3 linked regions of the Saccharomyces cerevisiae S288C genome follow. The gene in region 3 interacts genetically with the main gene of each other region. Each region holds a gene or a part of one and is shown on either strand. Other genes may lie near its edges.

Region 1 (3,579 bases), on a different chromosome or scaffold from region 3:
GAAAACAAAAGAAAAGATCAAATAAGTGAGTAAATGAAATGCTGTACCTTCCAATTTCTCGAACTCTTTTGGAATTTCAGGGTATGGTGGACGATATTAATGTAAATTATGATTGCTCCCCTGCCAATTGGTATAGGATAAAGATAGACATATTAGGCATCAGAGGGGAGAAGCATTGCAACCAGATAAGATAAATCAAAGATTTTTACCTACAACTACTTATACTATTATTATACTATTATTATATTATTATTATATTATTATTATCATTACTACAACTGCTACTACTACTACTACTATTACTATTATTATTATTTGATATTTTTATTACTGCTATTATTATAATTTATTATTATTATTATTATTATTAATATTATTGCTATTATTAGTAATGTGTTAGCATTATTGCCAATATTAGTATTATACTTTCTTTCTTTTTTTTTTTAATTTTTTTCTTATATTTCTATGATTCGGCAACATGAGACCAATCCTTAGATAATTCACTTAAATAGCTTCTTCAATTTGCCGAAGAAACCAGTTTTCTTCTTCTTGGGCTCTTCTGTCGAAGAAGACAAAGGAGAAGCTGTCTGTTTCTTTGGGGCTTTTACAGTTTGTTTCTTAACCTCTTTGGCAGAAGGCTTTTTTTCTTTACTGGTTTCTGACCTCTTGACCTCTTTAGAGCCTTTTTCTTGCTTCTTTTTCTTTTCTTTTTCTTCTGACACTGCTGGTGATTTTCTACCTTCAGCTGTTTGCTCGTCAGTCAAGGGTAGCTTGGGAGCTTTGTTAACGATGGGGTCTAATGTAAAGACCTCTTCATCTTTTTTTGCCTTATTTTCTACTTTTTTGGAACCGTCTAATACACCTTCAGTGGACTCACGTTTCTCCACCAACTTAGATTGAAGAGACCCCTCCACTGGTTCAACTTTCGATGACTCAGGTATAGATATTTGTGCTTCCGGAGTTGGTAATGGTTCGGGCTCATTTATTAACGGAGTAACCGCTTCCACTTGAGGAGTAAGTTCCTGCACATTATGAGCCACTTCCTTGGTCTCAACAATCGGGTCGTCAGCTTGTGGAAGAGCAGGACTCTTTTCCGTAACTGATGATTCAACAATAGGGCCAGCAACGGGTTCTGGAACCTCTTCTTTTTTGTTAAGTCTTTCATTCAATTCCCTAGCATCAACGTCTCTAATTTCGGTAAATTCCTTGATTTCACCAGGGTTTGGGACAAGAACAGGACCTGGTCCACCAATTATACCATTTGATTGAGTTGTGTCTGCACTTTGATCGATTGGCAGAATATGGAAATTGCCCGGAGCTTCTTTGGAAACATTAGTAGGCTCCGCCAATGGAGTTTCTTCCCTAGAGGTTCCAGTAACATCTTCAGTAGTAGTTCCAGTCACCCCGTCTTCTTCTTCATTATCGTCTAAACTTTCATTTGACTTCTTGTTGTTCTTAGTACTCTTTTTCTTCAATTTAGATCTTCTTTTCTTATTGTTACGCTTGTTTTTCTTTCTATTACTTGTAGAAGGAGGACCTGCTGAACGAGGCGGTTTACCACATAATAGGCCACCTGCCTCCGGGATTCTACTGGCACCGGCAACTTCCTGCGTTTCAACTAAATCGGTAATTTGTAAGAAATTGTTTTCGATTCCTTCACTAACATGCTCCTTTTTATACGAATCACTAACGCACCAAACGCCATCCACAATAAACTTAAACTGAAACGTATCATCCTTGTTGGCTAGCTTCACGGGCATAGTAATTTCGAAATTTCCCTTGGCGGTCTTCACGAGGGGTAAAGTGCCCCTCCAGTCATCAAACGTTCCTGTTAAAATAACATCTTTTGGACCAGCAGGCCAGCTAAAAGTATAGTTGAACATGAGTTCACTACTCATTTTTATTGATAGATTAGTTTTCTTAGTGATTTTTGTATCTTTTATTTTGTAAGTACAAAAAACGTATCAGAAAATGATAAAACCTTGTTCAAATCCTTGTTTGTATTGTTTACCAGGCGATGAGATCGGGTTTCAACAATTTTAGCAACGCCACTTTTCCTAACGGGTAACACACCAAGATAAATGGCGTCAGAGCGTCTTTTTTATGCACAGAAAAACCAGTAGAACACATTAATTAATATTATAACTACATAGCATTTACTTGGGTTGAAATGGTGAAACCTTACCTGGAACTGCTTATTGAAGCATAGAAATAGGTGCACAGTGGAACCCAAAAAGTTTATCGGCAACTTTACCTTCAGTGTCTTGATAATAAGGCAAACGCTAGGGTCAATTGAAGAAGAATTTCTGTTAGGTAAATTAATAGTGTCATTGGTATTAGTAGAATATTACCCGTCGAAATAGAACCAACTATCGTCTATCGACTAATATTCATACTGCTAGTATATTATTATATCCAGTGTAAGAAGATGACTTTAAGATTGAAAAATAATCTTCATAATTTAATGGAAGCTGAAACGCAAAGATTGATAATGCAATAGGATGACGAATGACGACATAAAAAACGGAAGAAGAAATACCAGTAACATTATGTAGAATAGGAATTTCCTTTATCAATAGTCGGATCATAACGGTTGCATTAAAATTTGGGATATTGGTGAATAATTTGATAATTTTTGGCATTCTGTAATTGATAAAGCTATAACATCAAATACAGAATATATAAAAGTGTTGGAATAAAAATCAACTATCATCTACTAACTAGTATTTACGTTACTAGTATATTATCATATACGGTGTTAGAAGATGACGCAAATGATGAGAAATAGTCATCTAAATTAGTGGAAGCTGAAACGCAAGGATTGATAATGTAATAGGATCAATGAATATTAACATATAAAATGATGATAATAATATTTATAGAATTGTGTAGAATTGCAGATTCCCTTTTATGGATTCCTAAATCCTCGAGGAGAACTTCTAGTACATTCTACATACCTAATATTATTGCCTTATTAAAAATGGAATCCCAACAATTATCTCAAAATTCACCCACTCTTCAAAAAGACATTCTCCTCAAGAAATCCACAAAAAGGAATCAACAGTTACGCATAATAATATTTCTTTTCCTTCCTTCTTCTTCATATTTTGCCATTCTCCATCCAGTTGCATCTTTAAGATGCTCCCGTCTCTTTTTATGCCTACATAGTTTAATTCTTTATTTAGAACACCAACAGATACATGGGCGTGTGGTCTAGTGGTATGATTCTCGCTTTGGGCGACTTCCTGCCTAAACAGGAAGACAAAGCATGCGAGAGGCCCTGGGTTCAATTCCCAGCTCGCCCCATTATAATTTTTTCACTTTTTTGTTCTTTGCAAGAACGCGCGGTACGCAGTTATGAGATGATGTAGGCAATCTCGAGAATTGAAACTTCTGCATTACCATAGAATTCAACATCTTTTTTTGGCACATTAAAGGTGTGAATGCTACACTAATCAATATAACACGATTATGTTAATTGGTGTAAGTGGTACGAAATTTTGCGGATGCGAAGATGTTATTAACATGTTGGTTGATCATTTTCATTTTGAATTACTCAATCACCTAGATAATCCAGAG
Region 2 (4,212 bases), on a different chromosome or scaffold from region 3:
CAACCCACAAAATCATGTGTACAGACGCCAAATTTGGGTTTGATGATAACGCATCATTCAGACAGGAAAAGATATATTCCTGGAGGGACTTATCACAAGAAGATCCTGATGAAGTTAAGGCAAAGAAGTATGATTTGAATTTTGTTAAGTTGAAGGGTAACATTGGATGTTTAGTCAATGGTGCTGGTTTGGCTATGGCTACTATGGATGTCATCAAATTAAATGGAGGCGATCCTGCGAACTTTTTGGATTGTGGTGGTGGTGCCACCCCTGAGACCATCAAACAAGGTTTCGAATTGATCTTATCCAATAAGAACGTAGATGCAATTTTCGTCAATATTTTCGGCGGTATCGTAAGATGTGACTATGTTGCCCTGGGGCTGGTAGAAGCCGCCAGAGAACTAGAAGTTAGGGTCCCCATTGTGGCACGTTTGCAAGGTACCAAAGTAGAAGAAGGCCGCGACATTATCAATAAGTCAGGCGTGAAGATTTATTCGTTTGATGAATTAGATCCTGCTGCTAAAAAGGTCGTTGAATTGACCCAAAATTAAGCTTCTCGAGAAAAACAAAAGAGTTAATAATAAAGTATATATGCTTTTTTACTATTAATAAAGTTTCTTATTTTCCCTACATGTATACATACATATAAATATACTCTTTTGGAAAAAATTTCTTTTTTTTTTTTTTAATTTTTTTATATTTTTCCATCTTTTGATGTAATATAGAGGTTATATAATGAAAGAATATATAAGAGGTCATAAAAAATCATTAAAAAAATGCGAGTTCAGGAACATATTATCGTTTACGTAATCAGTGCGTTATTGGCGGATTAGTACCGATCACACCTTTGTTCATCGATGTGGATGCAGTTTGCTTTGCTGCGACGGCTGCAGGAGTCTCCCCTTTTATTATGTAGTGAATAACCTGTTTAAAAGAATCACCGTTCCGTATCCTAAAGTTAGCAATTCTTGTTAGATGGTAGCCTGCAGTGCAACCCAGGAAAAAATTGACGGAAGCTAACAGATAGTTCTTGGGCTTGATGACAAACGACCAACGCGTCCAAATCAGTGCCGTCGCTAATAAAGATAAATTTTGTGCTCCTGATACCTTCTCAACAGGCCTCTTAATATCATTTAGCCCTGCGAAGACCAGCCCCCACTTCAAAGTTGGGGCCCAGAAGTGTACTGTTTTAGGGCCTGTTTCACTATTCCAAAATCTTCTAAAGGCAAAATTAAAAGCTGATGCTGACATTAAAAATATAGGTTTGTGTTTCTATGTGTCTTGAATGCTTATGCGTATAGTCTTAAAGACTGATTGTATTCTTTTTTTTTATATGAAGTATTTCCGCCGTAATGAAAGGGAAAAGAAAATTTTCTCCAATACTCCAATTGCAACGCACCATATTATCCGGGAGAATACACGCACGCAGCCGCATATATATATATGATGGCCTTAGTTTTGTTTGAGCCTTTCGGTTTTGCGTGACCAAACCAGGGAGCGGCTCGCTTGACCCGCCCACGGAATGACGTAAAGCCGTTAATAGCCGATTGGCGGGAGAAATAAAAGCGGGGCACTCCCAAGATGAGGGGTAATCGGGGTAATAATATCCAATCAAGGAGGAAAAGGGCCAAATGTTACCCGACTATCCAAACTGCAGGGTAACCTTTATTTTTTCTTTTCTTTTACTCCTACCATTTTTTTTTTCAGATTTTTCCCAGTATGGCTTTGTTTTCATTTTGCTTTGGTGGAGGGATAGATTAAGTTTGCAGCTGCGTAGAAAAGTTTCTTTTCTACATTCGAGGAAAAAGTCGACTTATTAGTCTGGTTAACTTGTTATTAGGGCTTCTTGCTTGAGTTATAATTTTAGAAGGAGAAAAAATAAATCTGTAGCAGGAGTACCAATTTGCTACGCTTGCTAACATCTACGAGAGTAACAATATCAAGCATACAAGCGCGACTGTCTCGGCTACCCCTATAATAGATATAGAGGCGTGTTTGTGAAACAATGTCTTCATTATATACTAAGTTGGTTAAAGGGGCGACCAAAATAAAGATGGCCCCTCCAAAGCAAAAATATGTGGACCCTATTCTCTCGGGCACTTCGAGCGCAAGAGGATTGCAAGAGATTACCCACGCATTGGATATAAGGTTGTCTGATACAGCCTGGACCATTGTTTATAAGGCATTGATTGTGTTGCATCTGATGATACAACAAGGCGAAAAAGATGTCACGCTAAGGCACTATTCCCATAATTTGGATGTTTTCCAATTGAGAAAGATTTCGCATACTACTAAGTGGTCTTCCAATGATATGAGGGCTTTGCAGAGATACGACGAATACCTAAAAACACGTTGTGAAGAGTATGGCAGGCTAGGTATGGATCACCTACGAGACAATTACTCCTCGCTAAAGCTGGGCAGTAAGAACCAGCTTTCAATGGATGAAGAGCTAGATCATGTTGAATCATTGGAAATTCAAATTAATGCCTTGATAAGGAATAAATACTCTGTTTCAGATTTAGAAAACCATTTGTTATTGTATGCATTCCAATTGTTAGTACAAGATTTACTAGGTCTGTACAATGCTCTTAATGAAGGTGTCATTACACTTTTAGAATCATTCTTCGAATTGTCCATTGAGCACGCAAAAAGAACACTGGATCTCTATAAGGATTTCGTGGATATGACAGAATATGTTGTTAGATACCTAAAAATAGGAAAAGCTGTCGGTTTGAAAATCCCCGTTATCAAACATATTACTACAAAGTTAATTAACTCCCTTGAGGAGCATTTGAGAGAGGAAACAAAAAGACAAAGAGGTGAACCTTCTGAACCGCAGCAAGATAGAAAACCATCTACGGCCATTAGCTCTACCAGTAGTCACAATAACAACAGCAATGACAAGAATAAGTCTATAGCGCAGAAGAAACTGGAACAGATAAGGGAACAAAAAAGACTGCTGGAGCAACAATTACAAAACCAACAGTTGCTCATTTCCCCCACGGTCCCACAAGATGCTTACAACCCATTTGGATCACAACAGCAAGATTTAAATAATGACACCTTTTCATTCGAACCAACCCAGCCACAAATGACCGCTCAAGTCCCTCAACCAACTGCTAACCCCTTCTTGATACCGCAACAACAGCAACAGGCTTTACAGTTGACATCTGCGTCTACAATGCCACAACCAAGTGAGATACAGATTACTCCAAATTTGAATAATCAACAAACTGGGATGTATGCTTCTAACCTTCAATACACCCCAAATTTCACCGGCTCAGGGTTCGGCGGATACACGACCACCGAGAACAATGCAATTATGACCGGCACTTTAGATCCAACAAAAACGGGGTCTAACAACCCATTTTCGCTAGAAAATATTGCCAGAGAACAGCAACAACAAAATTTCCAAAACTCCCCAAATCCTTTTACCCTCCAACAAGCACAAACCACCCCGATTCTTGCTCATAGTCAAACAGGTAATCCATTTCAGGCTCAAAACGTGGTGACATCACCAATGGGCACATACATGACGAATCCCGTGGCCGGTCAACTTCAGTATGCCTCTACTGGTGCGCAGCAGCAACCACAAATGATGCAGGGTCAGCAAACAGGGTATGTTATGGTTCCCACTGCGTTTGTCCCCATCAATCAACAACAGCAACAACAGCAGCATCAGCAAGAAAATCCTAACTTAATAGATATATAGTGAGCGATAGATACTACAGTTTTTTGTTCTCAACAGGCCGTCCTTGCATATTATAAACTCTGATTTTTAGGTAATCCCTTCCACCTTTCTATATTTTATGATACTATCCAAACATGTAAATTTTACGTACCATACATATAACCTCATCTATAATTTTTACCCTGATCTAACTAACTTTGGCATGCCTGGTTCAATCTACGGGTTACAGTCATCGTTGAAAACGATGGAAAAACATGTCGAGATTCCTCAATCCATACACCATTATAGTCCGTTTTATCAGCTTCCACTAATTTTTTAAATCTCAGTTTCTTCTTGAAATTTAGCATCGTGCATGGGATAGCGGCTAGTAAAAAAGAAAATTAATATCTCATTAACAAAGTTATTGTACATAATCCGGTACAATATTCTTCAATGTACTCTCTAATATCGAGCACACTGGCAATATTCATGCACACATTCGCCTAATGCTGACGAATGCTTAATCAGTGCAATTACTGCCA
Region 3 (4,070 bases):
CAAGCTGGATCCGAAAAAACAGAAAGTGGATAGACTACGATCAGGCGCGCAAGGAAATGGCGCTAAGAAGTACGAGGTCATCACTCAAGTGGACATGGAAGATGACGGGAATGTGGCGGATAACAACTGCGCCAAGGAAAATAATAGCAACAATAATAGCAGTGCCGCCAAGAATAAAGCAGTGTTTAAATTGACACTACAAAGTAAGTCGGGCGACGTTTTTTTTGCTATCAACTCGACTCCAATATCTTGGAGCTCTTGCATGCTGGGTTCTAAAATTGTGATACTGCCGGGAACTGTGTTCAATAGGGGCGTTTTCATATTGAAGGACTCACAAGTCATTTTTCTCGGCGGCATTAATAGAGTTTGGAATGAAAATAGAGATCAGAAATTTTGTGATTATTTGGAATCTAAATTACAACGTGACAAACAACTTGTAAATGGCGGCTCCAAGAAAAGGAAAGCCAATGATTAGCATATGCCTCTTCTTCTTAGAAGGGCGTTCTGCCCGTTATGTATACGTTAAATATTACATTATTTTCGCATTTTTGTATTTATATTCAGTGAAATATTAGGCTTGGTCGAGTAACATTTCCCATAGCTCGTCGGTTTCTTTGAAGTCGTGATGAACAATTGAGACAAGACAGTAGTCTTTATGCACTAGTCTTAGAAGAATATTGGCTGGGGTGTTCCTTGGAAATAACTTGGCCCACTCGGACCAGATACTAAACGCTTCATCTCTCCATGCCTTGAATGACTCTTCTTCAATGATTGTAGTCTGTTTGACCGGACTGTTGGGAAAAACACCCCATGTTACAACGCTAGAGCTGTGCGGGTCTAGGTTCGTTTCAAATGAACCAGATGAATCGCCCGCGTAATAACTGAATTTCCGACGCCCGTAATGGTCTAGCTTGGGTTTCAAAGTTGTTTCCCATTGCTGTCTATGAATAAACATTTCTACGAATGCCTTCTGATACAACCTCCCTTTCGCGGGCCCCCAGCCGAATATTTTATCACTACTCAATGTAGCATTTGTGGCAGGTTGCGATGCCAAAGTCAAATATCCGCGATAGTTTAGTTGGATTAGTTCTTCTTGTATTAACGCCGTTTCAGCTGATAAACCCAGGTCAGACCAGGGAATCGCATCCGTTGAACCTTCCAAATATTTTATAAAAATATCTTTTAAATCGCCAATTGTCTTTGGTATACCCCATAGTTCAAGCGCTTTGCTTTTGCTTACCTTGATGGATGGCCCATAACCGTCTATTTCACCATATGCGGGAGACCTGGAGTCACCAAATCTACCATTGGGGAACTCATCCCAAGTGGCATCACGACCCAAAGTTCCGTGACCTTTAGAAATAGATATTAAAGCCTTTTTAGATGGCATGGAACCATTCTCATTATTATAGCGTAAGCCTTTTTCAGTGACGATAGCCCTATTGAAAATCAACTTGGCCGAATCAAGACTTGAATGCCTTCTCCTTTTCCGGTTTGCTACAGTTTCTTCATTCGAATCATCCAACACAATATCCCCGTCAGCATCTTCTATTGGCACATTTTCTATGCTTCCTATTTCGCCACTGGTTTCATCTTCTCCCTCTTCTTCGCTAGATTCATTTACGATATGGGATAAGACGGGAGATTGCGAGACAATTTGAGCAATAGCCTTTTCCAAATTTAATGTATAGAAATGAAACCCTTTAATTCTACCAGATGTTCTTTGATATATTTCCTGAATCAATTCGATAAGAATGTCCACACCAATGGACTTCACGGCATTATCATCCGATTGGATTTCTGGGGGGAACCTACTCAGTATTGCAGGTGGAATAGATGCATGTGATAACTTTGCTGCTCTGTGGAAAAGCAGATAGGAGTTAATAGGCATCAACCCAGGGAAAAGGGGCAAATCTTGCGAAATCCGTTCCCGAAATAGCATTTCAAAAGTTAAGAATTTTTCAACGTCGTAAAACAGTTGTGTTATCACAAAATCGGCCCCAGCTTCAACTTTTTCTTTTAAATATACCAAATCCTTCAATGGGTCTTGCTCGTGACCTTCTGCTTCACCTTCACAATGACCTTCTGGATATGCTGCAACACCGACGCAGAACTTGTCTCCGTAGCTTTGCTTGATATAACGAACTAAATCAACCGCATATTTAAAAGGTGATTCGTTCGATTGAGAATCTAGCCAATCTTCCCCAATAGGTGGGTCACCTCGAAGAGCCAAAATATTCCTGATTCCTGCATTATAACATCTATCCAGCGCATCATCAATGATGGCTTTTTCTGTGTTTGTACAGGTCAAATGCATACAAACTGGTATATTTAGTGTCTGCTGTGCCAAGGAAGCTAATGTCAGAGTCTTTTCCGCAGTAGTACCACCTGCTCCCCAAGTAACCGTGATAAACAGTGGATCTAAAGCAGTCATACGATGCATACGTTCCATCAAATTTCTCGTCCCTAATTCAGTCTTTGGAGGGAAGAATTCTAACGATATAAAAGGGGAAGCCCTCGCATGATATAAATCTCTGATGGACATGTTTAAAAAATGTAATCAACCTGTCCCGTCCAACACGCTTCAAAAAATGTACGAACTTGAAACAAAATAGATGATGTGAGAGCTTAAGTCCCTCTTCCAATGTAACCAACAACCTGAAGTGTTCTCTGTTTGCCTTTATTTTGCGACTTTTCTTCATCATTGAAGTTAGAAAAAGCTTTACTCGCTTATCTCCTGGAGTAAGCTATAGCCACAGTCAATATCGCGTCTAATGAAAAAAAAAAGTCGGGACGAGTAAACTTTTGTCTGCGTGGCGCATAGGAGAGGAGAGAGCACAGGTGTACTGGAGGGTTCAGGACGTTGGTAGAGCATTTGCTAAATGTGTAAAAATAATATTGCACTATCCTGTTGAAAATATCTTTCCAGATGTCTCAGTTATTTTATCAGGGCGACTCTGATGATGAGCTCCAGGAGGAACTTACGAGGCAGACAACTCAAGCATCTCAAAGTTCTAAAATTAAAAATGAAGATGAACCCGACGACTCCAATCATCTTAATGAGGTGGAAAATGAAGATAGCAAAGTTTTAGATGACGATGCAGTGTTATACCCTCTTATACCTAATGAGCCAGATGACATAGAAACGTCTAAGCCCAATATTAACGATATTAGGCCAGTTGATATTCAATTGACTTTACCATTGCCGTTTCAGCAAAAAGTGGTAGAGAATTCATTAATTACTGAAGATGCATTAATCATAATGGGGAAAGGACTAGGATTGCTTGATATTGTGGCCAATTTATTGCATGTTTTAGCTACACCAACATCCATTAACGGACAACTAAAGCGAGCGCTCGTCCTAGTGTTGAATGCAAAACCTATAGATAATGTAAGAATCAAGGAGGCCTTAGAAGAGCTGTCGTGGTTCTCTAATACTGGGAAGGACGACGACGATACTGCTGTCGAGAGCGATGATGAACTTTTTGAAAGGCCTTTTAACGTAGTTACCGCGGACTCGCTGAGCATTGAAAAGAGAAGAAAGCTATATATTTCTGGCGGAATCTTGAGCATTACTTCTAGAATTCTCATTGTGGATCTCTTATCCGGCATTGTTCACCCAAATAGGGTTACGGGTATGCTGGTATTGAATGCAGACTCACTTCGACATAATTCGAATGAATCGTTTATATTAGAGATTTACAGGTCTAAAAATACTTGGGGTTTTATTAAAGCCTTTTCTGAAGCACCAGAGACGTTTGTCATGGAATTTTCACCCCTCAGGACGAAAATGAAAGAATTACGGCTAAAGAACGTTTTGCTATGGCCGAGGTTCAGGGTAGAGGTCTCTTCCTGTTTGAATGCCACTAATAAGACGTCACACAATAAAGTCATTGAAGTCAAGGTCTCCTTAACAAATTCCATGTCTCAGATACAGTTTGGCTTGATGGAATGTTTGAAAAAATGTATTGCTGAGTTAAGCAGAAAAAATCCTGAACTAGCTCTGGACTGGTGGAATATGGAAAATGTCCTGGATATAAACTTTATCAGGTCAATTGACTCGGTGATGG

What was found. Genes that interact genetically often act in the same process or in processes that back each other up.
Region 1: mutations in MET12 (region 3) and CRP1 together harm fitness less than expected from each alone (positive genetic interaction), as found in Saccharomyces cerevisiae (2 studies listed by BioGRID).
Region 2: mutations in MET12 (region 3) and YAP1802 together harm fitness more than expected from each alone (negative genetic interaction), as found in Saccharomyces cerevisiae (2 studies listed by BioGRID).

What each region holds. Positions count from the first base shown.
Region 1 is NC_001140.6:388,619-392,197, reverse strand, and holds CRP1 (Crp1p), read right to left. Parts: upstream 1,899-3,579; coding exon 501-1,898; downstream 1-500. Other genes in the region: DCD1 (deoxycytidine monophosphate deaminase), read left to right, coding at 3,472-3,579.
Region 2 is NC_001139.9:974,375-978,586, reverse strand, and holds YAP1802 (Yap1802p), read left to right. Parts: upstream 1-2,005; coding exon 2,006-3,712; downstream 3,713-4,212. Other genes in the region: LSC2 (succinate--CoA ligase (GDP-forming) subunit beta), read left to right, coding at 1-551; MPC3 (mitochondrial pyruvate carrier), read right to left, coding at 811-1,251; YGR240C-A (uncharacterized protein), read left to right, coding at 3,810-4,010. UniProt on the Saccharomyces cerevisiae protein: Involved in endocytosis and clathrin cage assembly.
Region 3 is NC_001148.4:503,768-507,837, forward strand, and holds MET12 (methylenetetrahydrofolate reductase (NAD(P)H) MET12), read right to left. Parts: upstream 2,546-4,070; coding exon 572-2,545; downstream 1-571. Other genes in the region: RMI1 (Rmi1p), read left to right, coding at 1-475; ssDNA endodeoxyribonuclease RAD1, read left to right, coding at 2,930-4,070.